Drosophila melanogaster: one gene and its partners. Each later gene encodes a partner of the first gene's protein in a complex. Each region holds a gene or a part of one and is shown on either strand. Other genes may lie near its edges. The genes, in order: Dsor1, cnk and ksr. A codon is read from its position in the direction of its gene.

Region 1 (8,709 bases):
AGATTACTGGTTAACTGGCACTCAATGGCTGCCAAGAGTATCGAGAAGGAGAAGGGCGAGGGTCAGGAGCCCGCGACATCAGCGGAGAAACCCGATCCAGCCGCACCCACTGAACCAGCTGAGGAAAATTCCAAAGAACCGGCGCCGGAAGACGCATCGCCGGATAAAAAGGATGGTGGACGCAAAAGGAAGAGGCATTTGTTCAATTCGATTCGCGGTCAAATGGAATTCTACTTCGGTGACGCCAACTTGAGCAAGGATCGCTTCCTTCGGCGCTACGTAGAGCAGGATCCATGTGAGTAGCTAAGGTTGGCTCACCAGCCAACATAACACTGATCATGTTATTCTTTTACAGATGTACCATTGGAAATCTTTCTCACTTTCAATAAGATAAAGACGCTCACCCAGGATGTGCAGCAGATAGCCAAGGCACTAAGCAACTCCCAGCTTCTGGAGCTGGATGAGACCGAACTAAAGGTCAAGCGACGTACCAAGCTACCAGATCAGCGCGATGTCAACGACAAAACCTTGTATGTAGAGGCCCTGCCTGCAAATGCCACTCACGATTGGCTGAAGGAGGTATTCAGCCGCTACGGACCGGTGGCCTACGTGTCCCTGCCCCACTATCCGGGCACTAAGAAGATCAAGGAATTTGCCTTTATCGAGTTCGAAAAGAGCGGGTCCTTGGAGAAAGCTGTGAAGGCTTTTGCCCAGATACAGGGCGTTTTGTCCGTAGAAACCGATCCCAGTGATCTGGCCAGTGTGCGCTCCTTTCAGCAGCAGCAGCAGATACAACAGAAAGCGGAGCAGCCGCAGTCAGAGGCTGAACAGGTTGAGTTGCCAAAGCGAAATCTAAAAAGGGAGGCCACCGACAAGGATCGCGAGGAGATACACGAGGTGAAACGGGTTAAGTTGGAGGAGGGCCAGCCTAGCGAGACCTCTACAGCTGGGGAAACAGCGAGTGAAACGGATGCAGAGGGCACAGCCGAAGCCTCCGAGCAGGAGGACAAAACAGAGGCAACCGATGGCGATGAAGCTGCCAAAAAGCGCCGTCGCAAGCGCAAGAAGAAGGCGATCGTGGACAAGCCAAACATTGAGCCCAGTGCCCTGGAGCTCAAGGTGCTACCCAAGACTAGTTGGAGCAGTATGCGCAATAAGTACTTGAATCTACAGCGTCGCATCGTCAGTGAGGCAAAGAGCAAGCTGTGGCGAGAAAATCACCCACAAAATCAGCAGCACCCTCACCACCAGCAGACCAGTCATCCAAACCATCCGAAACCTTCACAGCTGCCCGAGGCAGTTAAAGAGGAGGAAACCGGAGGCGAGGTCCCTAGCGATGGCGGTGAAGGTGCCGTAGAAGCAGCGCCTGTGCCAGCCAAGCGTCGCAAGGCGGTGCACAAGATGAACATGAATTTCTACGGCGCCGGCGGCGTGGAATCCACCAAATCCGAAGAACCTTCGCAGGAACGCACGCCGCTCTTTAAATACGAGCCCGGGCTGATTGTGGAGTGCTCCCTGCTAAAACCATGCACCAATGTTAAAGAATTTAAGGCTGAAATGCGCCAATATCCGGATATTAAATATGTGGATATTAAGGAGGGCGACCAAGTGGCCCTACTACGTTTGGGCACGCCTGCCGCAGCCGAGGAACTGCTACGCCAGGTCAACTGCTCCGAGAGGCAGCTGAAAGTGCTCTCTGGCCAGCAGGAGACGCTCTATTGGCGAAAAATCGAGCAGGATCGCGAGGCGAAACTCTCGAAAAAGGTGCGCGTGCAGCAAAAACGCGGTCGCGAGAAAGTGGGCAAAATGCTGGGCAAGCACATTAAGTTTGATGATGGCGATGATGAAGTGCAGGCGGCCGCCATGGACTGAGTCACTTTCAGTTGAGGGGTGAGTTTGGATTTCATTTCAGGAAACTCTATAATATAAGCTATATAAATTTATAAATGTAAGCAAAAGATACATTTAGATCTAGCACAAGATTTCGTAATATTAGAGTAATATTGTAAAAACAAATTGAATTTTTAAAAAAGAAACTTCCTAGTGAAATTGAAATAAATCTTCTGAATGAAACAAACCATTTATTTTTACAAATTTGTCTGATCTTACAGGAACGAGAAAGAGATGGTTATATTTTCTCTTTCACTTATTTATTGATACGATCAAAGAATTGTGCTAGATAAAAGATACAAAAAAGAACTTTTGGCATTATTAATAAAATACATTTCCTAATTAATTATGTACACGTTTTTGAGAAGATCTTGCTATTCCTAATGGTTGCATATTTGCATTCGTTATTATGTACACTGTAATGGAAAAGTTAGCTTATGACCTATTAACCCCTGTAAAACTAAACTATATGTAAAGTGAGCCATCCGCTGGCCCCAAATAATGCATCGAGATGAGCAGGACATCGATGATGGTCCAGACGCCGAGGCCGCCAAAGCTGAACAGCTTTCCAATCCCTTCCTGCCAGTGGCCCAAGTAGAATCGATCGGCTCCAAAGCCCCCTAGCGTGAGGCTAATCAGCAGGGCTGTGCTCCACCGATAGCCCTGCGTCCAGTTGCATCGCAGGTTGCGGGTAAAGGATCGATTGCCGAGGCAGAGCACATCATGGTGCACGGTGCAGTTGGTACGGAATAGCTTATCCGTCGCCGAGTTGCAACTGGAGCGCTGGCCACAGCTCTGTTGCCACATTTCCGTTTGGTAGCAGTATCGGCAATTCATTTGTCGCTGGAAACTCCGTTCGCCCAGGCACTGGACATTGTTGATCACCTCGCAGGTTACATTCAAGTCCCGGCCGTAGATGCATCCATGATTGTAGTTGCAACGGATGCAGGGAAACTGCAGGCGATCACAGGGCGTTTCCTTATCGTACGGGCATAGCATGTTGTTGTTCCCATTGCTGCTACTGCTACTGCTGCTGCTGCTGTAGGCGGTTATGTTGTCCAGGAGTCCACCGGCACCTCCTCCACTCTTGGCCACCATGCTGGACACCAGGGGCGGCACATACACCTCGTTATCGTTGGCATTTCCATTGCCATTGCTCGCATTGCTGTTATCCTTGTGATCGCCTTTTGAGTCCGATAAGTCCATCTGGTTGCCACCGCTGGCCGTTTCGCTGTTCCTGATCCCCGTCAGCACGAAGATCATGATCAGGACAATGGCCGATCGCATGTTGACCACAATGCACTGTCGTTGGAGCCTCATTTTGGTCAGATAGAGCGGGGAATACGCCGGAAATGTTATTGTTTTTCCCTTTAAGAAAATGAGTGGGGTGGGAGAGTGTGACCGTATACGCGTGGCATGAAAATATCAACCGCGAATGCTCAGGAGAAATTTCTTTAAAAAGCGTATCGAATAGTTTATAGATATGTTTTGGCTCAATTAAATTGGCTAAACAGATAAGTATACCTCTCCCCTCATCGTAACAAATTAGTAATATCTAATCCTAATATCCTTTCCATTTAAGTTGTGACCATTGGCCGCTTTAGTCGTAGGAGTGTATTAACGGTATTTGGTAATCGCGACATCTGGCCATACCGCACCGTCTGCGAAAAAAACCCAAAAGTCGCCGATTTTGGCTGATTATTGCAAAAATAATATTAACTATCCGTTTGCTGTTCGTGTGCTCGGTTCGGGTGTGTTAAAGTTAAGCGCAACGCGAGGAATTGGTGCAAATTTACCAGCGGCTGGACACACAAAACGAAACATTCGCACTTGGCCTCCCTTCGCACGCCCCCTCGCCGACGCCCCTCGCCCCTCACACCCTTCAGCCGTTCGTCGGACGCCGCTGTTCGTAGTGCGTTTTGTTGTTGTTTCCACTGGAACACTCTCTATTTGTATTGTTTCATTTATTAGTTTTTTTTTGTTGTTGTTATTGTTGTGTGCTTTAACTTATCGGTAACGGATAACGGTATCGAGAGATATATATTATATATAGTAAGATGTCGAAGAACAAGCTGAATCTGGTGCTGCCGCCGGTAAATACGGAGGCAACTGTTGCCGCCGCCACAGTGGCGCCGACGCCGCCATTCAAAACCCCCTCGGGCACAGAGTAAATATTATACATAATATCCTTAATAACTGACTGGTTTTTAGGCCACCCATTCCAATAACACCGCATCCCCCCTCCCTCGCTGTTTCCCCTTCCACTCCTCGTTTTCGGTTTCCTACTCAGTGGTAAGATAATCCTGTAGTTTTGCGAGTTAGGTGGGTAATTAATATCCATCAATTGATCCAAGGAAATCCCATCCAGCTGGAAAGAAAGAGACAGTCGGAGTGAAAGAGCAGGTACTCTCTCTTTGTTTGTTGGTGTGGGTGGTGCTCCTTTCGTGTGACGCACAGGTACACAGCGAGAAAAAACTTACTGAGTAAATACAGTAAACTGTTTTAGTGCTTTTTGGATTAATTAACGGGATGACAAAGTCAGTTTCGAAGATAAATAGAAATTATAATTTAATAGTCCTACCTTTATCGTATATTTTTTTGTGAGCACCAAAATGTAGGCAACATAACATAACACAATACATATGTAATTTGATGTGTATGTTTGTGTAGTTTTCTTATTATTAGGAGAAACTTCGGCCCGCCCCTCATCCCATCCCCCACTTTCAAATCCCATCCATTGCTTGCACTTTTTACATTTTCGTTTTGGATCGCAAAAATTCATTAAGAGGTTAAATTAAAGCACACACAGTTTGCTGGGGAAGCCCAAGACGAGCATCGATGCGCTGACAGAGACGCTGGAGGGTCTGGACATGGGCGACACGGAACGCAAGCGGATCAAGATGTTCCTCAGCCAGAAGGAGAAGATCGGCGAGCTGTCCGACGAGGATCTGGAGAAGCTGGGCGAGCTCGGATCGGGCAATGGCGGCGTGGTGATGAAGGTCCGGCACACGCACACACACCTGATCATGGCCAGGAAACTGATCCATCTGGAGGTGAAGCCGGCGATCAAGAAACAGATCCTGCGCGAACTGAAAGTCCTGCACGAATGTAATTTCCCGCACATTGTCGGTTTCTACGGCGCCTTCTACAGCGACGGCGAGATCAGTATCTGCATGGAGTATATGGACGGTGGATCACTTGACCTGATCCTCAAGCGGGCCGGTCGAATACCAGAGTCCATTCTCGGCAGGATCACGCTGGCGGTGCTCAAGGGCTTGAGCTATCTGCGCGACAATCACGCCATCATCCACCGTGACGTGAAGCCGAGCAATATCCTCGTCAATAGCAGCGGCGAGATCAAGATCTGTGATTTCGGCGTCTCCGGTCAACTGATCGACTCGATGGCCAACTCCTTTGTGGGCACCCGTAGCTATATGTCGGTAAGTAACTGGATAGCTAATCAAAATCTATACTTAGGTGTATTAAACAACGGAAGGTCGATGAAATCGGCGAAAGTATTTAAAAAAGAACATTGCAATAGCAAAACAAGGCACTCATCTATGCACAGATGTTAAATATAGCCAACTATAAGAGATCTATATAACTCACATGCTAATGTCCTCTTTGTTTCAGCCGGAGCGATTGCAGGGCACCCACTACTCCGTGCAGTCGGACATCTGGTCGTTGGGTCTGTCGCTGGTGGAGATGGCCATCGGCATGTACCCCATCCCGCCGCCAAACACCGCCACCCTGGAGTCGATATTCGCCGACAATGCGGAGGAGAGCGGCCAGCCGACGGACGAGCCCAGGGCAATGGCCATCTTCGAGCTGCTGGATTATATTGTAAACGAACCGCCGCCCAAGCTAGAGCACAAGATCTTCTCCACCGAGTTCAAGGACTTCGTGGACATCTGCCTGAAGAAACAGCCCGACGAGCGGGCAGATCTCAAGACCCTGCTGGTAAGCAAACGAAACGTCGCCATTTCTTCAGTTATATATATATTCAAGTTGTTTTATGTATTCTTCGGCAGAGTCATCCGTGGATACGCAAGGCGGAATTGGAGGAGGTGGATATATCCGGCTGGGTGTGCAAGACAATGGACCTGCCGCCATCGACGCCAAAGCGTAATACGTCGCCCAACTAGACGCCTCTGCGTTCCGGCCCCCATTTTCTCTATCCTCCCATATCCACACTTGCTCTTTGTTCAATAGAGCGTTGACGCTGGGCAAAAACAACTGAACTATTATTATTATTATTATTAAATCGAAAATAAAGAAATCGAAGTCATACCATGTATGATGGGGTGTTCTTATTATTTGCATTGGAGGATTATCTTTAATTTTAAAATAATGCATAAAATTATAATGTGTTATTGCTAATCTTGCAAAAGGTTGAATACATAAGCGAATTAATTGTATCTCAATTAAATTTTGTCATTTTTATTCAGACTTCACTCCATTGTATGAAATACATTAATTCAAAAAAAAAAAAAAAAAGTATTTGCCGATCTAAATGGGAATCCCCTCAAAAAAATATATATTTCAAACAAAATATACTGAAGGTATTTTTGGATGTGCGTGTATTTTGGTCACACTGTGAGAAAATAAATAAATCAATTCAGTGTGGCCAGAGTGTGTCACAACAGCTGTGGAATTTGTATATAAACACATAAACTAAACGCATACACGGGCGCTCGTGCAGCTTGATACAGTTACAGTTACAGATCCAGCACGCAATTCGCGGCCAATTGAAACGATTCAAAGATCGCGAGTGGAATAGATCGGAGGCGACACCAACACACCAACACAACAGCACACAGACGTACGCGCACTGTGGCAAGAGGCAGCGTTCTTTGTTGCAAATTACCGTTGCATCCACCTTTCAGCGCCACCCCCTCCATCGGCCTCACCGATTCGCGATCCACGATCCGCCTTCTGCCAACCGCCGCCAGCCAGTTGCTTCCAGCCAGTGATCCGATGCAGACGTTTCGCTGAAAAGGAGCGCACAGCCAGAACAGAAGAAGAACCATGTCGGCGGTGAACCAGAAGGAGAGTCCCAGCCGGGACTCGACGGCCTCCACATCCGGGCACATATCGATGCTGGCTGACAACACATTGGAATCGCTGTCGCGGGACTACAGCCTGGGCAGCTTGAACTCGGCGGGCAGCCAGGATGAGTTCTTTCGCTGCCGAGACCATGCGGACAATATACTCAAACGGATGCAGCTCTACGTGGATAGCCAGCAGCTGTGCGATGTGGTCCTAATCGCTGGCATCGATGGAAAGAGGTGAGAGCACTGAATTCTGATCCTGGAACTACGATTCCTGGCGTTCCACATCACTGCGATCGATGTTGGAACGATGGTCGGCAAGCAGCGGGGATCGGGATCATGGAACTCCTAGTTTCCAATGCCAATTCCCCATACCCTTTCCACGGAGACAAAGGAATGGAATATGGCATTTCAAATTGGAAAGTTCATTAGCGATTCCCTCCCGCTTCCCCTTTATCCCGTCCACCACCTAACCCACCTCCGCCTTCCCCTCCTCCTGCCCCAGCTGACCTTCACTTGGGTTCTTTGTCTGCTCTCTTTGCTTTTTGTTGTTGTGGTTGTGTTGTGTTGTCCCCAACGCAATTTCAACAGCGCACACTCACACGCAAGATAGTAGCAACACGCAAAACCAGGAAATGCAGCTGCGGCCACAATAATAGCAACCAAGAAATGCAAATACAGCTGTTTTACAAATAATTGCAAGAAAAAAGAGTTTAACAAATCTGGTTTTCACTTTTGAGTGTATACTTAATTTCTATTTGCACAATTGCTCATTTTAGGTCGGCTTTAATTCACTTATCTCAGTGAGCATGCTGACGCACAAAGTTAGTTTAGTGAATTTTATTATTTTGACAGTAGCTGCATATCTACAGAATTAGCTGTGCATCTATAAAAGTTCAAAGTTTAAAAAAGATCCAAAAGTATTGGTTAATACTCAATGATTCGTTGTTGGCAATATTTTGACAATCGATCGAGTTTTATTGCATGTTTACTTAGCATTCGTTAATGGTAAACTTCTCAGCGTTTATTTTTGCATTGTTTGGAATTACACTATAGTTTATGTCTAGAGCCATTCATTTTTTGCTTGTTTGCTTATCAGCAAATGTGCCGATAAGCAGACCATTTGTTTATTACATCAATAATGATATCGGTTTGGATAAACTTGATTGGAAGTAATCTTGGTAAAGTGAAAAAATAACAAATTACTTGCATTTATCCGTTTCAAAGATACTAGTGAAATCCTTAATGTCCTTCTATTGTGACCGCTGCTGTGCGCATTGTTGCAATAGGAAGATAGGGGAAGAGAAAGACGGAGCAAAAGAGATCCCCATTTCGAGCTCCAAAGAGTGAGAAAGAGAAACAGAGGGTCCCCATTATGTAGATTTTGTTTTTGTTCGTCGAACAATGGCGATGCAACGCAACTGAGAGGGAAGTAACCGTCTCAGAAACAAAGACGAACACCACGGAGAGGCAACAAAAACTGCAGCATGGAAAGATACAGATACAACGATTCGCGATCCAAGTGCAGTAGTTGCAGCTCTATTTGATTTCGCTGCACTCAACCGGTTTTGGATCGTGAAAACCTGTCGATCTGTGCCATGGTAAACAAAGGGAAAAGAACCCACCAGCGTACAGTTGCGGTCACGAAAGTAGTGACACCACAAGCTAATATTTTTTTTCGGATTAACTCTTGCGAAAGTGTCCACAATTCAAGGATTTCACTTGGCTCTTTCAGGGTGCCCGCCCACCGCCTGGTGCTATCGGCGTC
Region 2 (11,065 bases), on another chromosome or scaffold:
ATTTTTCTCTCAGTGTGGGGCCAACAATCTGGTGACGCCACAGACGAGATTCCTCCGCATATTTTTAGTTTTTGCACACCAACAAAAGAAGCGAGAGATGAGCGCTTGCCACGTGTGCCGTGCTCTTCCCAAAAAAGGAACCAACAGGTTATGGCCTTCCAGGCGGGTGGGACAAGGACGGCAAGCGGGAGTTTCCTGGCGAGGGAGATGCAGGACATTGGGAGCCAAAGGGAGGCTAAGGGAACTGGAAATGGCAAACGTGGCTCATGTGTGTTGTTGTGATCGCTGCCATGTTGAAGAATCGAGAGAGCACTTGCTGACGCTATCATCGTTTCACCATTTGTTGTTACTTGCCGCGCGGCAGACTCAATAAACAATGTTAAACACAGCAAGCGTTAATTAAACACTGAGAATAGAAAGAGACGTCGCGAAACGGGAGACTGGACAAACAAGCGCAGCACCAAAACAATTAGAATGGCGGTAAATAACACACACAACAGAAACAACAAAAAGCACTCAAATACAAACACACACACACAAATATGCCTCTCTACAAATGAATGTACAAACATACATATATGAACGTCTGGTATGTAAAATGGGACTTCGATTGGTTTTTACGTTAAGAAATGGGGAAAATGCAATGAATTACATGTGACCATTGGTTTTGGCTGCTATAGCCTTAACCTTTGACTGCTGATGATGCTGTTGTTGTTGTTGCTGCTGCTGTTGATGTGGTTGCTGAAGTAGCTGTTGCTGCTGGTGGTTTGCGATGGTTAGTAAACCGGCGGATGCGGCTGCAAATGCTGAGTTCGCTTTTGCCCCTTTTGGAACATCGTTATTGCTACTATTAATGCTGTTGTTGTTGGTGTTGTGGCCCGACTTGCTGCACAAAAACGTGATGCTGCTCATTTTTAGCCCGATCCCGATCTGCCAGCGATTTTGAATCACTCAGTCCGTCGGCGTGGGCGTGAGAACTTGGATGTGGAGGCAGCAAGAACACAGCAACCGGCGATGCCAAGCCAAAATGGGTCACTCACTCACACAACGCTCACGCGAATCGCCGCCGGCGTGGATCACATGTGATTTAGAGTTTTTATTTCGTACGCAGCGATTCACCTTTTGCGTTGCGGCCAATATTTATTCGATAACTAATGAAAACAAAAAATTAAGCCAAAGGTGTAGCGAGAAGTGCGAGGTGAGCGGCGTTTGGGGATTGAATGACAAGAAAAAGTGTTAAGGCAGCTAAGGTTAAAAAGCTGCGCTGCGCTGCGGTTTCCTCTGCCGGCGTCGTCTCTGCATTGTTGTTGTCGCAAGCCTTCATAGAGGTGGGCATGTGGTACATGAGGTTTGGCGTGACACGACTCAGTCGAAGATGTGCTCTACATTTTAGCCAAATTTGCATAACAAATGTCTCTTTTACTTTTGTTAAGTGAAGGATATTTAATTTGTTAGAGAAAAAAATATTCTAATTTTTAGGCGCATAAAATCATAAAATATTTCACGCTACATATACTTATACACAAGTAATTTTTTATAGCATTCCACGGATCGCACCAAAGTTATTTTAATAATGTTTCTGTGGTATGAATATTATTTTTTCAAACTGCAACATTACAAGTTACTCGCTGACGCGCCCATCCCTAGCTTGTAACTGTTCTCGCAGGGTGTTCGCTTTGCCTTCTCTCTCACACTCTCTTCCGATCCGATGCAACCGGCGACTATATCGAAATTGAATTTATCACATGTTATGCGTTTGCACATGTAGTGGTGTTTGCGAACGCAGGCCCTATGCCATTTTCCCAGCATTTATTTATATTGCGTGATTAGAGGCCCCACGACGCACACATGTAAGTAGGTACGTACGTACATACGATGAATGACTTGGAGCACATGCTCTTTAGATATGTTTGTGCGCGGGTGTGTGTGTGAGTGTGTATCACATTCTAATGACTTCTGTTGGATTTTCACACTTTACTTTTGGCCGTGCGTGAATTAATGCGGCATTAAAAAGTCGTTCGTTACCTGTCGGAGCTAGCGGAACTCGATGGGTTGTAGAACTTGATTTGTTTCGTCTGGGTCACAGACATTTCGACAAGAGAATAGTGATTGCAGCAGCCAGTTGCAGCGATTAGAAAAAAACACGCGGTGATTTACTTCGTCGTGCCTCTCCCTCTCCGAGCAAGTGACTGATTCGTTTCTGAAGGCATTGCGTTGGAAAAACGTGCGCCGCCTTCGTATACATACATATGTATACATCTACCCGAGCTTGAATGGTCAAGTAAAGTGCTAATTGTCAGCTGGGGAAAGGCACTGGAGCGGAGGGACGCTCATTGCCTTGTTTATCTCCATTTGATGCTGTCATTGAGGCATTTATTTATATGTTTTGGGGCAATTCAATTCCATTCGCAAGGCGCTCAGCTGTTTGATTGGGGCGGCGACAGTGTTGCGAAGCGCTGTTGGCTGTTGGGTTGCAGTAAATTCGAATGTGAATGGCTAAATCCGAAGCGGGGTTTTTAAATGTTTGATAATTATTACTTCGAGCTTGTGTCAATATAAGTGAATATTTTACATAAAACTTTGTGGTTTCTAAAAGATTAGCTTACAACATGATCTTTAGGTACTAACAAATAAAAGGTTGTAAATAGCGGTAGTGCTCGGAAAATATATCAACATGAGACAATTACCAATTCGATTATTTTTTGTTGGTCCTCTATCGATAACTGTTACTCTTACTCTCTTGCACTGCAAGCCAAATTCATATTAATTAAGACTATAAAAATAAACACATACAGAAACATGTGGCTGTTTCCTGGCTATCTTGGATGGAGAAAGTAGTATGTAGTAGTATCATAATTTATAGTTTTCTTTCCTCTTGTTCTGTCCCTTAAAGAAACTTTGAATAAATTGCATTTTGTTCAGTTTTAAAATGCATTAAATAATCGATTGCCACGCTAGTTCGATAGTATTTAACGAGCACCGAGTATTGTTCGAGCTCTAAAAGATGGTCACTCCGGACCAGAGAGACGCAACAATATAGCAATTCTGAACTTGGTTCGAGTGTTTTTGCAGCACGAATTGATAATATGCCGTAGGTGCGGCCCAGCGCGGATCATCAGCAGCAGCAGCGATGGCCTACATCAACATCGCCGAGTGGACGCCCGACCAGGTCACCGACTGGATAAAAGGTAATGCTCGAGGTCAAGGAAAGCGCAGCTGAGAAAAAAAAAACTGCATCTCGCAGCCACTGCCCCAAAAAGCAGCAGCAACAACAAGTGCAACAAGAATTTCCGCTTTGTTCAAGGTTTCAACAGGCACATCATAATAATTATGTTTTCCTGATTCTCGCAGGTCTGGATGAGTCTATGAAGGGGTATTTGTACGAGTTCTCCAAGCAGGAGATCGGCGGACGGGCGTTGCTCAACATACGGCCATACGAGCTGGAGAATCTGGGCATGCTGCGCATTGGCCATCAGGAGATCGTGCTGGAGGCGGTGGAGAACTTAAGAAACTTCGTGAGACCCCAAACAAATATTGTGACATACAAACCCGTTAATTGAGCTTGATATTCCAGCATTATCACCTGAAAAACGACAATCTGCAGTTCATGGCCTTGCATGTGGCCACGGCAGCTAAGAATCTGCATCGCGAACTGGCCAGGAATCATGCGGAGAGCACTAAGATCGATACCCGGATACTGCACGATATTACCAGGACGATAGCTACTCTAAAGCCATTGGTGGGCAGCCTGGAGCGAACACCGTTCCGTAAGCAGGAGATGTACCGCGAGTATTGTGGCAATGTGCTCAAATGCGGCCTGGAGCTGGCCACAATTGCCCACCGTGATCGTTTTGCCCTGCAGCCGGTGCCAGCGATTCGACAGTCAGCGGAACGGCTCGAGAATCTTGCCAACTTTGTAATCCAGGACATATCTGATCCCATGGTACTGCAGCCAGCCTCTCTGAACCTTGTCACCCTTAAAAAACGCGAATCCGAGTTGGGTTTCAACATAGAGTCCAGTTATAATGGCATTCACCGTGTCACGGATATCAAGTACAACTCGCCAGCTCACAATTCCGGAAAAATCGAAGATGGCGACGAGATTGTGCAGATCAACTACCAGACCGTTGTGGGCTGGCAGCATCGCACAGTACTGGAGCATCTGAGGGAAGCACTTCCAGATGTGGTGCTGACGGTGAAGAAACGGCCGAAGCACACAAAGATGTTTGGACAGATCTATATGCAGCCGTACAGGTTGCCCAGCAAGAAGAGGAATATGGCCGCCCGCTGGGCGGCACAGATGCCAAGTCCCCGTGCTGCATTTTTAACCCTGGACACGGAGCAACTGGCAACAGGAGGAACAGGAAGCGCGGTGCCAGATCCCAGTAAATCCCTAAGCAGTGAGAAGAGGGAGGTACTTACCAAGGCCAATCCAGTGTCCTCTGCCTCCGACTCTGATTCCAGTTGCAGTGATATTCCAACACCAACGGATCCCAAGCTAGCCGCACGGGAGATCCGTTTGTATTACCCAAAGCCAAGAGCTTTGCTCCAACGAAGAAACACTATTTGTGGATGCGAGTATCTTAGCCTGAAAAACTCGGATCTAGTCGTTCCATCGTGGCACGAAAGAAAGCCAGGAATTGGTTCGCCCACCAATTGCGACCCTGGCTCGCCCAGTATACGGGATAAGTCGATATCCTTCGGTTATGGCCTAGAGATGGCAGCAAGGCCGACCACTTGCATTGGGATTGCGGGCGATACCTCCACGGACAAGGCCAGGCGAATGTTTCATGAGGCGCGAAAACTAAAGCAGCTGACGGAGGACTCGCAGCGCGAATTCCTCGTGGATCGTTACAAGCCGGGTGTCAGCAAAGTAGTTCGGTTCGACGCCAAGGAAGATTATGTGATGAAGAATGAAAAATTTATCTGTAACGTTGAGAACACCATACTGGAGACCTTTGAACCGATTCCCTTTGCGGATGAGGGAGACGAGGACGCCTTGGAAACGCTGCGCAACTGCAAAACAGAAAACGCAGAGGAGCTCCTAGAGGCAATTAATCTGGCTACAAAAGGTCAGGACTTGCCCCTGGCCGAGGCCATTAACATGCCTTTGTTGCAGCAAGGTCGAAGGGGCCGATTAGACAAGAGTCATAGTACTCCGGCATACGATAATTCGGGTGAAGAATCGGATACGCCGCCAGCGATTGAGCCAAGAAAGGAGTTCCTGCTTGTCACACCGCCAGCACCGCCACCGCGACCCCGCAAGCAAAGGGAAATGACGCCACCGGCGGTGCCTCCACCTCCACCAAAACCAGCCAGCATGCAGCCGGCTAGTAGTATCACCAGTATCTCCATTCCCGTGCCAGTACCTGTACCAGCCGCAGTTGATCCATCGGAGATCAGTGAGCTTCATACGCCCAGCAAATCCCGGACACTGACCCTTAAAAAGAAGCACAGCTTAATGGCCAAGCGGCGGAACACAAATCTCAAGCTGTTGGGGACTGGGGATATCCAAGGTCATCTGTACAGGCGCAAGAAAAATCATCGCGGAGTGACTTACTGGGCGAGAATCTATTTCGTGATGCTGGATACGATACTGTACGGATTTCGCAGTAAGCAGAGTACCAGCGCCAGCTTGGTAATATTTTTACCGGGCTTTACGGTTTCATTGGCAAAAGAAGTGCACTCCAAACCGCATGCCTTTAAAGTTTACCACACGGCCAAGAGCTTCTACTTTGCGGCCGAGTCGCTGGACGCACTTAACCAATGGGTGGACTTCTTGCGCCAGGCTTCGCTCAAAGTGCCGCCTAGTACGGGTTCAAAAGGCGGTGGTGACGCAAAGGATTTGTATTCGGAGAACGATAGCTCAGGCGAGGAATGCGATGCCCTTGTGATCCAGAATTTAAGCACGCCCTCGCCGCAAGGCAACAAGGAGTCAATGTCCATGTCGATGACACTATCTGGCGGAACACCACCTTCCTCTGCACCCATTAAGCATGAACGCGGCTACTTGGACTCGTTTCGCAAATTTACGAATACATTCAAGAGCAGTGCAGCGAAACCGTCGAGCGACATCCCTGTGCCAACGGAGCAATACCGCAGCTATAGGAAGGTGCCAGGCGGAAGTTTTGGCATTCAGATTGGTGCCAATACACCGGGCTACCATGATCCCGCAATGCCGCCGACACAGATTCCACCTTTGGTGGGTCCTAAACTGTCGCGTAGCTCAAGTAGGAGTTCGGTGGTCAGTGGAACCGAGTCTGCCGTATCATTATCTGCTTCGATTCTGGGTCCGCCCGCGTCGCCAGCGCCAACGCCCACGCCTACAGCCACTCCCACATCGCTGCAGCATCAGAGCTCCGAGGAGAGTCCAAGTCAGAGCCAGAGCCAGAGTCCCAGTAGCAAGTCGAGTTTGAAGAAGGCACCATTCAACTTCTTGCACGCCTCAAATCCGAATTTGGTGGAATTCGATTTCCATACCTCGAAAACACTACTCCCCAAGATGAGTGTGGGTAATACACTCGACCATGGCCATAATATACAGGGCTTTGTGACGCTTAAGGATCTGATGCTGCGCAAACAGGAGGAGGAGGCCCAGGAAATGTACAACAATCGAGTGCACTTGGGTGTGGAGAAGCACAAGCACGCACGGACGGAATCCACGGCCAGTCAGCAGAGCGCCATGAGCAGCAGCGTGACAAAGCCGCTGGAAAAGTTGCCCAAGATCCAGAGCGTGAGTCTGCCCAAAACACCCGACTACGAGATCAGTTTTAAGCCTGACGACGAGAGTATTAAGAGAACCAGAACTAAGGAAGGTCAGAAGTTGCGCGACTTTGGTTACGAGCTGATATGTGGGGATGAGCCGAGCACTAGCTCCATCAGCCGGCAAGAGCACCACCATCATCATCATCATCACCAGCACCACCTGCAGCATGTGCAACAGCAGCAGCAGCTACAACATCAGCAGACGCAGCAGCAACATAGCAGCAAGGCCAAGCACTTCTTGCGCTCACAGCAGTTACAGCTCTCCAGTTTCCTGCACAAGAACAGCAGCGGCGGCAGCGGCAAGAGTTCCGGATCCGGTGCGGATCAAAAGAAGTCCAAAGGAAAGTCTAGCGGCGATCGTCGGTTTCCCTTTTCCAAGCACTCAACTGGCTCCGCGGGCAGTGGCTGTGGGCCGGGTCATGCGATGACTATGACGCTGCCGCTGAACAAGAAGTCCAAATCGAATCACGCCTTGGATGGAGCCGTAGGCAATGGAGTCACCATAATCGGCAGCGGCAGCAGCATCAAGAAAAGCCAGACGTACAATCAGGATCTGCGAGACAAGATAGTGGGCACCAAGTACGATGCGCATCGCAAGAACTCGGCCCCGATACCAATCTTTTCGAAACTCTCCATATCGGGTGGCACGCCGGCGAAGCCCTCCAAGGAGAATCGTTTCCTGGGCTCACCGCTGCTGCATCGCACGCTGTTCGGGCACCATCACCATCAGCAGCAGGCAGTAACGCCACCAAGCAGTGCGGATCCCGATTGCGATCAGGAGATCTTCTCCCAAATCACCCTGCCCACGCACAATCAGGCGGGATATCGAAGTTACCGTGGACCTGGCATACTAACCACCTCGACCACTAATTTGTGCTCGTCGGAGGGCTTGCAGCCGCCGTTGCCCCCAGCGCCACCGCCTCCCGTCAACACCAGCAGGCAGAGAGAGGAGGAGCAAGCGGAGGCAACGATATCAGAGTGTGCGGCCACCCCAAAAGTGTCCAGTTCGGGATCTGTGGATTCGAAGGCGGCAACGCCGGACTATCCAAATATGGAGTGTCCGCCTGTCTTTGAGCCGGAAATCTACTCGCTCAGCGATACCAGCTTGTCCCGCATCGTGATGCGGACGCCCAGCAGCAGTGGTGCCACCAGTGCCACCGCCAGCACCACCACCACCAACAACAACAACAACAATAATAACACCAATAACAACACCAACACCAACAGCAGTCCCAGTGGCGGCGAACACCATCAGACCTAGATGTGTGATGAAAACTATTGTGAATGCTCGCGGGGATTAGCCCCCGTTTACTTATGTATTTATACACACGCATATAGATATATATATATATATTATATATAGCGATATTCTCGTACGATTTAGGTATACAACTTGTTCATTTTGATCGTCTTCCCTGTCTGTCCACCAGAAACAAACACACGCATACCTGCAATCCCTTCGATTCGAAACCCACTTAGATGTAAATGTTTAATCTGCCTTATTTGCATTGTATTTCGGTTCTAGGCAAAATGTTTTACACATGTAGTCACGCAAGCAAAACAATGAATTATAGCGAAAATGGAGAATAACTTTAGAAGTCTGTGCATCGAACAAAGACGGTTCTTTATGATTTGCCTTTGTACGCGATTAACCAAGTTAATCCGAGCTGTTTGATTTGCTCAACAGTTTGTGTCTAGATTGCGTGTAATATACATATATTATTATGCGAAATGAGATATTATTGTAATGGCATCCAGCGACGCCAATGGAGCCAGAAATGTTGTAGCGGAATGCAAGAAATATATATATACACAATTACACGAAATATACATGCATACGAATAAAGTCAACTGTACATAATAGAATAACGATCTTTTTATTTTGGGATTTTTCAAGAAACAGGTTGTTTCATTAGAGGAGGATTGAAAATCTTTTTATGCACGCAACTTATTCAAAGACCTAAGAAATGAGAATCTCTGGACAGAAGTGCTGAACCCTGCTTCTTTTTACTAATGTAACCAAATCAACTTGATCAAAACGAGTATTACCTTCTATTATTAGTTCGATTTAGAATCCCTTTCTTTATTCACATTACATTTGAAATTAGATCAATTTAAAACCACTGCCGCTTACGCAATGTTCTTAATGTGCTGCTCCACCTCCTCCTTGGTGAACATGTAGAACTCTCTTTCTTTCGTCATGGTCATCACCTCCACATTGGTGGAGTTTAGTTTCTCCTCCATAACCTGTTTAAGTGTGTTGAGCGAAATGTCGATAGCCTCATCGAGAGTCAAATCGGGTCTAAATAAGTCCTGCAGATTCTGCTGAGCACCTTCGCTGCCCGAGCCAATGGCCTTGGCTCCGTGGCGCACGAATGTGCCGGAGGGATCCATGTGCCACAACTGGGGTTGTCCCGCCTCGATGCCGGCAAATAGAATGGCCACACCAAAGGGACGACTCATGGCGGCGGCACCATCGCTGTCGCCACTATCACCGAACTGGATGGCCAAAGTGGACACAGCCTGGGCGCAGGACTCGATGGACATGCGCTCGTTGTAGACGAACCAGTGGTTCTGGCACTCCACGCGTGCCCTCTCGATCAGAGTCCTGGCATCGGCCATCAAGCCGGAGGTGGCGCAACCAATGTGCTTGTCCACCTCCACAATCTTCTCCACAGTACTGGGTACCATTAGCGGCGAAGTGATGCGCTTCTCCACCGCCAAAACCACTCCTGGAATGCAATTTTACCATTAGATCTCCGCGTGTACTTATGGCAGCAAAGAACATACCTTCTGGCGTGCAAATTCCAATTGCTGTGGAGCCCAATTTGATGGCCTCAATGGCATATTCCACTTGGAAGAGGCGGCCCTCCGGCGAGAAGGTGTTCACGCCTCTGTCGTACTCGGAACGCGTGAGAAACATGGTGGGCTGTAATTTAGTTAAGTGTTATGCACGCTGGTTGACAAATAACACTTCGAAAAGGGCTTACTTTTCTATAATTTCCTTAACAAAATCGCAAACAAATGCCGGATGACTTGACGCTGAAATGACTTGCGGATAAAGTGCCGTCTCTGATTATATCGATAACTAGTGCTGCCACATTATTCGATTGATAATATTACTGTACTAAACATGGGTTGGCAGCTCTGCATCAAAATTGGTTGATCTGGCAAGTTTGTCGCTGTTAATTTTTACACATATTTAAATAAAAAATTAAATTGATATTTTAAGTTTTCATTTACAATTACGATCACAAAGAATATTTTGAAGAAGTAAAAGATTTTTAAGGTATTTTCAATATAGTTTTTAGAAATCTTAATCTTATAGGTTTTTGACTGAATTAACTGAAAATAGCTCTGCTGCAATGCCAATCAAGTTTCTTGCATTTCCCGCTTTAATGCCCAAATTGACATGATTGCCATTAAGCCTTTAAATGGTTATATAAGTCAAACAACCAGTTAAGTGTTGGACTACTTCAAGGACCCGGTTTAATTACCAATTTCCAGATACGTTTATTACTTGATACTGGCTACTATCATCTAAATATCTATTTTTAATTTCCGATATATTTTCATTAGCTTCACATACGAATCAGTGTAATGTGGACTAAAGGAAGCAGTTGCATAACAATCGAATTAAGAGATTTACTTTCACATTGGCGGCTCGTCGGTTTGCCCGACTGTCCAATTATGGCAATTTCAAATCTAATCACACCCCACACGCACAGTCTCCAATGGTCAGAAAATCCCCGCGTTACAAGAGAAGCCATGATTGAATGGAAATGGAATAACGATTGGGTCAAGGTTGCCATCTTGTTTTACCCTTCTTTCAAAGATAAAGCGAACGTGCGCCACAAGATGCGAAGATTTCTGAAGATTTGGGAGTGGCGCGAAGAGAAGAGCAGGGGAGAAGTATTGCCACCATTTAACCAAAAAAAAAAAAAATACAACTGAAGGTCGTTGACCAATTGCAGTGCGCGGGACAGGGAGAGCATCCGGCGTGTGCGAGCGAGAGAGACAGACACTGCAAACCCGTTAATCAGACCGAAAGAGCCGTTAATCGCCCCGAAGAATTGCAATAGCAAAATGGTGCAAAAGTTGTTAGGTTGACGATGAGGAGGGGGCGGGAGAGGTATAAAGTGGCGGACAAACTGGACAATGGGCAATTAGCAGGCAAAAAAAAGCGGGGCCTAAATTTGATTATGAAATAGAATGGGCATGTAAATGCTATGGCCTGTCTTCCGCGTCTGTCGTTTTTTCTTTTATTTTTTTTTGTTTTCGATTTCGGGCTTTAGCCAGG
Region 3 (11,136 bases), on another chromosome or scaffold:
ACATCTAACTTAAAACGCATCAAAGAAAAACATGTACATGTCCACTGTTTGTGATTTTAAATTCACGATTGAGTAAGCGGAACGGAAATCTGTGCGTCTGTGTGTGTCGTGTGAAATATCGGAGTAATGGCAATTAAAAACAACCAAACTATAACATAAATCGGACTAATTTTTAAAATTCAATTGTTACTATCCTAAAGAACTGGCACTTATACAATGATTCAACTTGCGAAAGCAATTAAGTAAACGTGAAAAATCCCCAATTAAGACGGACTGTACGACCCCCCCCCCCCCCCTCCCCCGGTCCATCCCTTATGTGCATCTACTACCACTAGTCCCAGTTAAAACATGTTTAGGTCATTTACCACAAGGCCGGATGCAACTCGCTTCTATGCAAACGTATTTTATCTTCATAATCTTCACCATTTTCCGCGACCAGTGCGATTAGGTTTTCTAAGCACGTTGGCAATTGTATGCACGTTTCTGAAAAAACTACATAAATTGCTTTAAAATCGTGCTCAACGATTAAAGTTCTATACAAATTGAATGAGTAGGAAGTTGGATGTGGTTAGAATGAGAGTATATATTGGATGTGGATAGGGAATGGAGATGGCAAATCAAAACAGGCAACGAGGACTGTTTTGCAAGTGTTACACACCTTGTGGCGGCGCAGCTGTGGGCTGAGGTGGATGTGGAGGTGCCACCTGCTGGCGCTGTTGCTCCATTTCCTCCACTACAGGTGGCGGCGGAGGCGGTGGGTGTGGATTCACTGGCATGGACATGCGGTCCGGCAGGAGGCCAAGCTGCTCCGTCGAATGACCACCGATGCTGGGCATCTGGATAGCCTCCAGATTTATTTGTGGCTTAGGTATGGCATTTAAGTCAAACTCTTTGGGCGCCGGTATGGCATTCAGCTGCATAGCCTCCACTGGAGACGGACCAAGCTGCATGTAAATCTGTCCCATGTTGGTCAGAGCGATGGGCAGCTGTGGAGGCGGTGGAGGTGGCGGAGGAGCAACTGCCGCCGGATGCAAGTGCAGAGGCAAATGGCCGTGGAAGAATGCAGCTGGCAGCTGCATCTGCGGTGGTCCCTGTTGCAAAAGCGTAGGATTGAATGCAAATGGAGGCGGCGGTGGTGGCTGCACTGCTTGCACGGGTAGTCCAAAAGCCAAATGAGTTGGCGCCGAGCTGGTCACCGTAATGGAGGTAGCCATGGCTGCTGCCGAGCTTATGGCGATGGCCGCCTCTAGCTGGGGACTGTTGTTCTGCTCTGCTGTTTCCGTGTCCACGGCTTTGTTCTCCTCGGCGCTATAATTACCCACAAATTAATATACATTAATATTTTTACGATAGTGGACTCACCTGGGCACTGGAACCGGCGGAACAATCAAGGGCTGCGGAGGCTTTTCGTGCTTTTCGAGTATTTTCTTGAAGTTCTCTAAAAAGGAACCATCGTTGCAGAAAGTGTTTTTAACCTTCGGTGGTGGCTGCTCAACACTGGGCTGAGGCAGCTGCTGACGCTTCATGCCAAATGTGATCTTGCCCGTTTTGCCAGTGAAGCTATTCAGCGTCTTGGGGGCCACCGCGTCCTCCGTCTTTCCCTTGCTGGCCGTGGCCTCAATGTGAACAGCCTCCAGGCCATCCTCGCCGGCCGCTAGAGAGGTGTCCTGGACGGCGGTGTCCAGGTATCGGGCATCCTCCTCATACTCCACCTCGTTGCCAATGGGTTTTCCCACAGTCGTCTCGGTTTTCAGCTGCGCTGCCAAGTTCTGCGCCGCGGCCACCGCCTTCGCCAGCTGTGCCGTCTTCTGCTTCTCGAGGATCTCTTGCCGTTTCTTGGCTATGATCTCCTCCTGCTTTGTCATCTGGGCGAAGCGGTCCACTCTGTGATTTCGCTGTGACATAATTCCCAATGCCGCAGACTCCGTTTTATTCCACAATTTTCTTTTCCAGCAAAGCAACAGTGTAACCAACTCACATACTTGGAATTATACCAAGTCTTCGCATCACCAGTGTTGACAATTTTATAGGAAACTACACTGTCAAGCTCTCTTTAGTTCAGTTCAAAAAAATTTTAAAAAATATAACTTTCTAATGAAAGTTCAGTTCAAAAAAAAATTTTAGAAGAATAATAAAATAAACAATTTTAGAATAAAAAAATTATGTAATAAAAAAATCCATCTTAAATTTAAGATAAGACCTGTGCGGCAGTTAATCTCAGTGGTCTAAGGTCAGCAATGATCGAATATGTATTTATTAAATTCAAATTTCAAAAACACCCGTATGCAGAGGAATCGATGGCGATAACAATGGTAACAAACGCGATTATCTTACGAAGTAATTTCCAAACACTGGTTTATAGGGAACAAACAAATGTACCTGTCATTATAAATATTTTGAGACTTCCTTTAACATATAATTCTCTTTGGCAGTATTTAATTTAGTGGATTAAATTATCCATTATTATTTCGTAAAGCCACTTAAGAAGAATCACCTTGTAAATATTTATAAGGATAAACGTTTTTACGTAGTTATAAATTGACCTAAATTTGCCTAAAAAGTACAAGTTGCTTAAGGGCCAATTAAACTAGAGGGTTCGGGGAATAATATGAGTTTTCACATCTGCTTCATTTCACTATTGATACTTGGGTATAATCAATCCCTTCAACATATCAAAGCTGTTTCCATCGGGCTGCACAATTTCTATAGTACCAGTTGGTAATTTCACCTCCAAAAATCCAAAGTCATCGATTCCCACAATTTCGGCCTCTTTTTCCTGATCTTTTTGTAGGCAAATCTTAACAGATTGCCCGCTGTACATAAAAACATGTTAGTAAATGTAATATGCAAATTAAATGTATTTTAAAAATGTTTTAAATTTACCTGTGTAACCATAGCGAATAGTATAATGCATAAAAACTATCAAAGTCTCCGTTTTGTACTTCTCCCAAAAGTCTTTCGATTTCATTGAATATCATGGCAATAAGTAGCTCGTACTTAAGTATAGGTAACTTGTTGTTCGGGACACGGGTATTATATTCTCTTATCAAGTCATTGATGCAAACTGTTGGTCTTGAATTGTTCAAATTAATTCCACTTCCGATATTGACGATGGCTTGGGATCCCTGAAGTGTGGTATTAATGACGAGGCCCCCAATTTTCTGATTTCCATTTGCATAAATGTCATTCGGCCACTTAATGGAAATATCCAGCACCTGAAGGTGATATGAATAAATTAAGTAAAACTCGCCTATCTCCGTAATATTACATATCATAAAATATAAATTGGAACATCAAATATTAACTTAAAAAAATTATTTTTAGTTATAAAATTAAAATATTAAAATAATATCTACCTAATTTCCATTTCCAAATAATAAAATATAAATATTAAAATATTTGACTTATTTCGACTAATAAAATAAAAATGTGAAAATAATTTCTGGATTAATTTTTCAAATAGAATTGAAATATATATGCTATATACACTCGAAGACATAATATAATTACAACATAAGAATAATAATACTTAACGTTCTATTTTTTTTAAATACAGAGGAGTGCCCCTAAGTTTTTCGGATAAGTGCTTTTAGTACATTTTGGTGTGCAGTGAGAAGGAGTCCTCCCGGGTATGGTCACACTTCTCTCGATGCGCTACTTGGGTGTAGAGAAATTTCAACAACAGCCGAGGAACTTGTACAAATTATTGCTTTTTCGCATTGCCTAAGCCGTTTAGAGTTGCGGGCGTTAGCGTGCGCGATAGCCGGAGCACCGAACGTCAAGGTCGCTTGGCGAGGGCCACAATGCGGGGCGGAGTCCCAGCCATTGGTCCCATCGAATCGTCGAGTCCCCGAGGGGGCGTCTGAAAAAATCAATCGGGCTCCACTCCGTCGCGAATAAGCAGGATGAGCAGCAACAACAACGCACCCGCATCGGCTCCAGACACGGGCTCCACCAATGCCAACGATCCCATCTCCGGTTCGCTGTCCGTAGACAGCAACCTGGTTATCATTCAGGACATGATTGATCTCTCGGCCAACCATCTGGAGGGCCTGCGAACGCAGTGCGCGATCAGCTCCACGCTGACGCAGCAGGAGATTCGTTGCCTGGAGTCGAAGCTGGTGCGATACTTCTCCGAGCTGCTGCTGGCGAAGATGCGGCTAAATGAGCGCATCCCGGCCAACGGGCTTGTGCCCCACACAACGGGCAACGAACTGAGGCAATGGCTGCGCGTAGTGGGCCTTAGCCAGGGGACTCTTACCGCCTGCCTTGCTCGCCTGACCACTCTAGAGCAAAGCCTGCGTCTCAGCGACGAGGAGATCCGTCAACTCCTGGCTGACAGCCCCAGCCAGCGAGAGGAGGAGGAACTGCGACGCCTGACCAGGGCCATGCAGAACTTAAGGAAGTGCATGGAGTCGCTGGAGAGCGGTACTGCGGCTAGCAACAACGATCCAGAGCAGTGGCACTGGGACTCCTGGGACAGGCCCACCCACATTCATCGCGGCAGTGTGGGAAACATTGGACTGGGTAACAATTCAACCGCCTCCCCGAGAACCCATCATCGCCAGCATGGTGTCAAGGGAAAGAATTCCGCTCTGGCCAACTCCACCAACTTCAAAAGTGGCCGCCAATCGCCCTCAGCGACAGAAGAGCTGAACAGCACACAGGGTTCCCAGCTGACTTTAACCCTTACGCCCTCGCCACCCAATTCGCCCTTCACGCCTTCCAGTGGGCTGAGCAGCAGCCTTAATGGAACACCACAGAGGAGTCGTGGTACCCCGCCGCCAGCTAGAAAGCACCAGACCTTGCTGAGCCAGAGTCATGTGCAAGTGGACGGGGAGCAATTAGCCCGCAACCGTTTGCCCACTGATCCCAGCCCCGATAGCCACAGCTCCACCAGCTCGGACATCTTTGTGGACCCAAATACTAATGCCAGCTCCGGAGGAAGTTCCTCGAACGTGCTTATGGTGCCATGCTCTCCGGGCGTGGGTCACGTGGGCATGGGTCATGCAATCAAGCATCGTTTCACCAAGGCCCTGGGCTTCATGGCCACCTGTACCCTGTGCCAGAAGCAGGTCTTTCACCGCTGGATGAAGTGCACCGACTGCAAGTACATCTGCCACAAGTCATGCGCACCGCACGTACCGCCCTCCTGTGGACTTCCACGAGAATATGTGGACGAGTTTCGGCACATAAAGGAGCAGGGAGGATACGCCAGTCTGCCGCATGTGCATGGCGCGGCGAAAGGATCCCCTTTGGTAAAAAAGAGCACCCTGGGTAAGCCCTTGCATCAGCAGCACGGCGATAGCAGTTCGCCGAGTTCCAGCTGCACTAGTTCCACGCCCAGCAGTCCGGCGCTGTTCCAGCAAAGGGAGCGCGAGCTGGATCAGGCGGGCAGCAGCTCTAGCGCCAATCTGTTACCTACGCCTTCGCTTGGCAAGCACCAGCCGAGTCAATTCAACTTTCCCAACGTGACGGTGACGAGCAGTGGCGGAAGCGGTGGTGTATCGCTCATCTCCAATGAACCAGTGCCAGAGCAATTCCCCACGGCGCCTGCAACAGCCAACGGAGGACTTGATAGTCTGGTGAGCAGCTCCAACGGGCACATGAGCTCGCTCATCGGTAGCCAAACTTCAAACGCTTCTACTGCGGCCACCTTGACGGGCAGTCTGGTCAATAGCACAACCACCACCAGCACCTGCAGTTTCTTTCCGCGAAAATTGAGCACAGCCGGTGTGGATAAGAGGACGCCGTTCACCAGCGAGTACACGGATACCCACAAGTCAAATGACAGCGACAAGACAGTCTCCTTGTCTGGAAGTGCCAGCACGGACTCGGACCGGACACCCGTTCGTGTGGATTCAACGGAAGACGGAGACTCGGGACAATGGCGCCAGAACTCGATCTCACTCAAGGAATGGGACATCCCGTATGGTGATCTGCTTCTGCTCGAGCGGATAGGGCAGGGACGCTTCGGCACCGTGCATCGAGCCCTTTGGCACGGAGATGTGGCGGTTAAGCTGCTCAACGAGGACTATCTGCAAGACGAACACATGCTGGAGACGTTTCGCAGCGAGGTAGCCAACTTCAAGAACACTCGACACGAGAACCTGGTGCTGTTCATGGGAGCCTGCATGAACCCACCATATTTGGCCATTGTGACTTCATTGTGCAAGGGCAACACCTTGTATACGTATATTCACCAGCGTCGGGAGAAGTTTGCCATGAACCGGACTCTCCTCATTGCCCAGCAGATCGCCCAGGGCATGGGCTACCTGCACGCAAGGGAGATCATCCACAAAGATCTGCGCACCAAGAACATCTTCATCGAGAACGGCAAGGTGATTATCACGGACTTTGGGCTGTTCAGCTCCACCAAGCTGCTCTACTGTGATATGGGCCTAGGAGTGCCCCACAACTGGTTGTGCTACCTGGCGCCGGAGCTAATCCGAGCATTGCAGCCGGAGAAGCCGCGTGGAGAGTGTCTGGAGTTCACCCCATACTCCGATGTCTACTCTTTCGGAACCGTTTGGTACGAGCTAATCTGCGGCGAGTTCACATTCAAGGATCAGCCGGCGGAATCGATCATCTGGCAGGTTGGCCGTGGGATGAAGCAGTCGCTGGCCAACCTGCAGTCTGGACGGGATGTCAAGGACTTGCTGATGCTGTGCTGGACCTACGAGAAGGAGCACCGGCCGCAGTTCGCACGCCTGCTCTCCCTGCTGGAGCATCTTCCCAAGAAGCGTCTGGCGCGCAGTCCCTCCCACCCCGTCAACCTTTCCCGTTCCGCCGAGTCCGTGTTCTGAGGGAACTGCAGCATGGCCACTGTCACTGTCTAGTACAATTTCGATCTACCAACTAAGCTAGCTCGCTTTGTGCCCTCGTCCACTCTACACAAACTCTCTCCCAAGGCGAAGTTCTATCGAGCCGAGCGAAGATTGTAAATACATAAACGTAACTACCAAATTATAGCAATCCATTTTAAAAACTACATACATATGTGTAGGCATGTATCGGGAGCACTCCAGTTGCAGTTGTTAGCAAACGAAACAAAGGCAAATCAAATGTTAACTCGAAAAAGACAAAACGCTTAAATGTTTAAGAGCAGAGGCAAACAGAGAAGGCATAGACATACATATACAAACAAACAAACAAGCACTGTGGCAAACATAAATGTAAACGTTAATCAGGTGAGCAATTTCTAAATTGTTAATTATGTGTAAGAGAACTATATATATATATATATATATATATATATATATATATATATATATACATGTATATACAGCAGCAATGTATTGTATATGACGGACTAGTGTTAAATTAAATATATATTGTGAATTATGTATGGTCAAGTGTATATAGTAAATGGACTTTAAATGCGAAATCGAAACAAAATGTCAAATAAACTTATTAAACCTAAAAAATCACTTTGTGCACTTGGCAGTTTTACAGATCCTGAGGTTCGTCCCATCGTCCCACAGGCGGAGATAATCGAAACAATCTTAACTTAAGATTCAACTAAATGGTAAAACTTTACAGTCTTGACTCACCCCGTACTCTTCATGACTGCGGAGCGAATTAACAATCGCCGTTCCAACAAGGTGCTGCAACAGAGGCAGCCGAGAGCTCAAAGCGCTGTCCATGGTCAGGTGCAGCTGCAGCGAGAACATGGCACAGCCCGGCGGACTAAGCCACTGGAAAGCACAAAGCGATGATTTCAACAAGAACTTAAATCTGGATGCTTCTAGAGTACTAACTTGATTATTTCTGCGACCCACTCCGGACGTCTGCTGCACGGGGAGCACAGCCAGGCCGTGGATGAGCTCCAGGTTGTTTATGAGATGCATGGAGCTGCTGACCACCGGTGCATAGATGACCAGTCGTCCGATGTGTTCCGTCTTAAGATTCTTTAAAATAAGAGGAATTTGGGTTAATTCTGCTATAGACTAGAATTAGAATGCGCTCACATCGAAGTAATCCACGGTGGAGAAGTCATCCGGACAGGAATGTATGAGTATGGGCAGGACATTGTTGTTGGCCACTGGAGGCTTATCGTCCTTGCCACAGAACTTCATCGTCAGGTTCGGCGTTGCTATCACGTTGTCGGATCCGCTGCAGCGCAGACGTAGCTTCTCCAGAAGCTCAAACTTGGCCTGAATAACAAAAAGAGCTAGAATATTGGATTCTGATGCCAAAACAAATGGAGAGACGAACTGACCTCGTGCCGACCTAGGAAATATGCGTGCTTGTAGACAACTCCAGGCTGCGGCTGGTCGACACCGTCTCCACCGCGGACCTGCACATCCAAGTACTTTCCCAGGAGATCCGCAAATATCTCGAGGCGAGTTCGCTCGTTTTGCTTTAGAATGGAGTACTTAGTCTCATCGGATTCAAATTCGCTGGGATTCATTTCCAAGTGCACCTGTTTTTTTTTTTGTTTCATAGGAATGTTTTTTTTTAATATATGTTTGTTATATTTACATGAGCAATCACTTACTTGGGAGAAGACGGCCTTTCCGCCGCTCTGCAGGCTTTTGGCCAACATCAAGCTGGGCGTATTCCAGGTTTCCTCGGTTCCCAGCACATGGACATCCAAATTGTGGCTGTGACCGGCCAGATCCTTCAGTTCCATGGACCTTGGACATACTAGAGCTCTGAGCAGCGTTTCGTGGTTTGATTTGTGTTTTTTTTTCGATTTTTGTTTGTTTTTGGTTTGTTGTTATTTTAGTTATTGGTAGGATGGATTATAATAGTGATAGCACACACATATAGAAGCACACGCAGAAATTTAAGGATTTAGAAGGTAAACGTAGCAGGATGGTGAAAAGGTTTGAAATGCCAAATGTTTATAACACAATTAAACAATTAAATTACATGGATGGCACATTCAATCGATAAAAAACAAGAGTTAAGAGAGCTTACAGAAAACATAGATAGGTTAGTTAGTTAGGCGGATTGAAAACGGAGTTTAGATAGATGGATTACAGTGCACACCGAATCAAATAGAAATTAAGCCATATTTAGAGTAAACGAGACCAATTTGAGCATGAAACATTTGAGAAATAAAATGAGAATTGGAATTGGTTAGAATCGGTTTAGTATAAGAACGATTAATTAGGATTAATTCATTTCATTTCAAGCCCCATTCAGAAAAAGTAATAATATACATAAATGAAACAAGACAGGAGGTTGGTTTCGGCAGGCCGAAGTTCATATACCCTTGCAGAAATTACATATGTATATGTCAAGAAAAAATATAATACAAATTAAAACGGGAATTATATATTCCATTTTTATTTCATTTATTTTTCGATTATTCCTATGGAAGCTATAAGAAATAGAGGACCGATTATTCCCTTTTCTTACTTACATATTTCAGGAGGAAGTCTTTTCATGCAAACAGCTTTAAAACTGAGAGGCTAGAATCCTTAAAACTGGATGAACAGACGGACTTGGCTGGTAAAACTGATCAAGAATGAAGAAAGTGCCTTTTAACCCTTTAAGCCCTGAAAACTTCTGACTGGAAGATATATACCTTCTGCAAGGGTCTAAAAAGTAAAGCGTTATAACTTGGCCTCTTTTTTACAATTTACCCGACGGCTGTGCAATAATCGACTTGAATAGGGCTTTCGGGTGTATAAAACATGCAACATTTCGGTTTCAAATACACTGATACTCAGTTAATGGGCTATTTGTTATTGGCACTATTAAGAAGATCGGCAAGGTTAGCAATGTGTTTTGGTCACTGGCAGTCTGGATGGGAGCAGCAATAGCTACTTACGGTTTGCGAGAGTGCGACTTGGTGGACTCCTCGCTGTCAGTGGAGAAGTGCTTCTTCACCGGCGACGGTTGGTAGCAAAAGATGTGGTGCATCATCTTGACCCGCTGCCACTTGTCATAGGAGAACTGAACCAATTCGTGCTCTCGAACCTGTAGAACACGGGATGGATGTTGGCGAATTTGGGTATATTTTCCACAAAACAGAGTCCTACCTCCGCTGTGCGATAGTTGGGGAGTACAAAGTGCAGTATATCCGAGCACAGGCTTAACACCTTGCCGCCCTGCAGAAAGTAGTCCACCAATATCTGCCCAATTCCGTGTGCCACCGATCCGCAGACGACCAGCAACGCAGTCTGTTCCGTCCAGTATTTTTGAGCCGCTTGCTGAGGCATCAGAGGATAGATCGTGTACACATTGCGCTCCAGCAGCTGCTGCAGAGTGGCCAATGTGGATTCCCGCGCACTGGCGCTGTCTGAGTAGACCAAAACATTCAATGGTTTTGCGTCCTGCAGGCTATCCTTGTTGCGTTGCAGCACAGGACGCGAGGGAGCAGCTCTGGATGACGGAGGAGAATTTAACGGCTTTACCGCCTCAAAGGATTTCCTGGGCTTCGTTGGCTGATCTGATGCCTTATCAGGCTCATCATGTTTACTTAGCATAGGTGGTTTAGCTAAGAAAGCAGCCTTGACGGGAGAGACCTGGACTGCCTCTTTCTTCTGCTGCTGCGCTGCCTGGACAGCCGCTAGTTTCTCTAGTTCGCTTGTCTTTAATGCACCCTTAGTTGGCGTTAACTTGGAGTCCTCTTTGCTTGTGGCTGGCGTGCCCTCGCTCTTGGCAAGAGTGGCGGGTTTGGCATCGCTTTTAGTCGGAAAAGGTTTTGTTGACGTTCCCTTGGCCTCGGCTTTGAGCGAGGCTTCTGTCGTCCTTGCCGGAGACAGATATGCCTTGTTGGTGGGCTCCACCACGGCCACAGCCTTGGCCAAAAGCTCCGAAGTCGGGCGTTGATCATGTGTGGTGGGATCCGATTTCGTTCTTCCCTCAGAGCGATTCCTCTGGTACTCGAACTCGGTGGCCTGGTGCGCCAGCACACCTACGGCACGCAAGTCCTCCATGTGCTTCTTCCATCCATCCTTGTCCAGACCGACGCTTATGCGGGATTGCCGCTTCAGATGCTTGGCCAGAAGCTCAAAGGGCTGCGGATCCCCTTCCCGTTGCACCGCTGGGAGGGAGAAACAATAAATCAGTGGGATTTTTAAGATGAAGTCAAATTCTTAAAACGATTTCAGGTGCAGCTTACACTCAATCCGCAAAAGTGGCAGCTGATCGTTAATGCATAAATTATTTCTCAAGAAA

What was found.
Region 2: the proteins of Dsor1 (region 1) and cnk are in contact, whole or in part, in a cryo-EM structure (PDB 8BW9), measured with the Drosophila melanogaster proteins. Residues at the interface, in NP_511098.1 of Drosophila melanogaster: Arg200 (codon at 5,178), Gln255 (codon at 5,536), His258 (codon at 5,545), Gln262 (codon at 5,557), Tyr319 (codon at 5,728), Val321 (codon at 5,734), Asn322 (codon at 5,737), Glu323 (codon at 5,740), Pro324 (codon at 5,743), Lys347 (codon at 5,812), Gln348 (codon at 5,815), Asp350 (codon at 5,821), Glu351 (codon at 5,824), Arg352 (codon at 5,827), Ala353 (codon at 5,830), Asp354 (codon at 5,833), Lys356 (codon at 5,839); in NP_001286524.1 of Drosophila melanogaster: Arg46 (codon at 3,429), Tyr48 (codon at 3,435), Arg72 (codon at 3,507), Tyr76 (codon at 3,578), Thr92 (codon at 3,626), Lys95 (codon at 3,635), Asn96 (codon at 3,638), Arg99 (codon at 3,647), Arg103 (codon at 3,659), His117 (codon at 3,701), Arg121 (codon at 3,713).
Region 3: the proteins of Dsor1 (region 1) and ksr are in contact, whole or in part, in a cryo-EM structure (PDB 8BW9), measured with the Drosophila melanogaster proteins. Residues at the interface, in NP_511098.1 of Drosophila melanogaster: Gly98 (codon at 4,872), Gly99 (codon at 4,875), Lys123 (codon at 4,947), Asp236 (codon at 5,286), Met238 (codon at 5,292), Ala239 (codon at 5,295), Asn240 (codon at 5,298), Ser241 (codon at 5,301), Phe242 (codon at 5,304), Val243 (codon at 5,307), Gly244 (codon at 5,310), Thr245 (codon at 5,313), Ser247 (codon at 5,319), Met249 (codon at 5,325), Arg253 (codon at 5,530), Leu254 (codon at 5,533), Gln255 (codon at 5,536), Gly256 (codon at 5,539), Ala310 (codon at 5,701), Met311 (codon at 5,704), Ala312 (codon at 5,707), Ile313 (codon at 5,710), Phe314 (codon at 5,713), Leu317 (codon at 5,722), Asp318 (codon at 5,725), Val321 (codon at 5,734); in NP_001287177.1 of Drosophila melanogaster: Gln767, Tyr828, Asp830, Met831, Gly832, Leu833, Gly834, Val835, His837, Arg849, Ala850, Leu851, Gln852, Asp888, Gln889, Pro890, Ala891, Glu892, Ser893, Ile895, Trp896, Gln897, Gly899, Arg900.

The regions. Positions count from the first base shown.
Region 1 is NC_004354.4:9,243,852-9,252,560, forward strand, and holds Dsor1 (downstream of raf1), read left to right. Parts: upstream 1-3,490; 5' UTR 3,491-3,947; coding exon 3,948-4,057; intron 4,058-4,690; coding exon 4,691-5,330; intron 5,331-5,523; coding exon 5,524-5,850; intron 5,851-5,921; coding exon 5,922-6,035; 3' UTR 6,036-6,186; downstream 6,187-8,709. Other genes in the region: Larp7 (La related protein 7), read left to right, coding at 25-295, 356-1,872; amx (almondex), read right to left, coding at 2,356-3,210; CG17754 (uncharacterized protein), read left to right, coding at 6,919-7,178, 8,677-8,709. UniProt on the Drosophila melanogaster protein: Required downstream of Raf in the sevenless (sev), torso (tor), and Drosophila EGF receptor homolog (DER) signal transduction pathways.
Region 2 is NT_033778.4:17,411,534-17,422,598, reverse strand, and holds cnk (connector enhancer of ksr), read left to right. Parts: upstream 1-2,591; 5' UTR 2,592-3,130; coding exon 3,131-3,188; intron 3,189-3,351; coding exon 3,352-3,515; intron 3,516-3,574; coding exon 3,575-8,026; 3' UTR 8,027-8,629; downstream 8,630-11,065. Other genes in the region: l(2)k01209 (lethal (2) k01209), read right to left, coding at 653-912; Prosalpha5 (proteasome alpha5 subunit), read right to left, coding at 8,896-9,497, 9,556-9,688.
Region 3 is NT_033777.3:5,476,407-5,487,542, reverse strand, and holds ksr (kinase suppressor of ras), read left to right. Parts: upstream 1-3,636; 5' UTR 3,637-3,905; coding exon 3,906-6,806; 3' UTR 6,807-7,553; coding exon of another isoform or gene 7,554-7,697; 3' UTR 7,698-7,760; coding exon of another isoform or gene 7,761-7,910; 3' UTR 7,911-7,970; coding exon of another isoform or gene 7,971-8,156; 3' UTR 8,157-8,221; coding exon of another isoform or gene 8,222-8,425; 3' UTR 8,426-8,500; coding exon of another isoform or gene 8,501-8,657; 3' UTR 8,658-9,153; downstream 9,154-11,136. Other genes in the region: CG31550 (uncharacterized protein), read right to left, coding at 366-492, 659-1,308, 1,363-1,904; Hcs (holocarboxylase synthetase), read right to left, coding at 2,636-2,813, 2,884-3,215, 7,554-7,697, 7,761-7,910, 7,971-8,156, 8,222-8,425, 8,501-8,657, 9,785-9,933 and 2 more.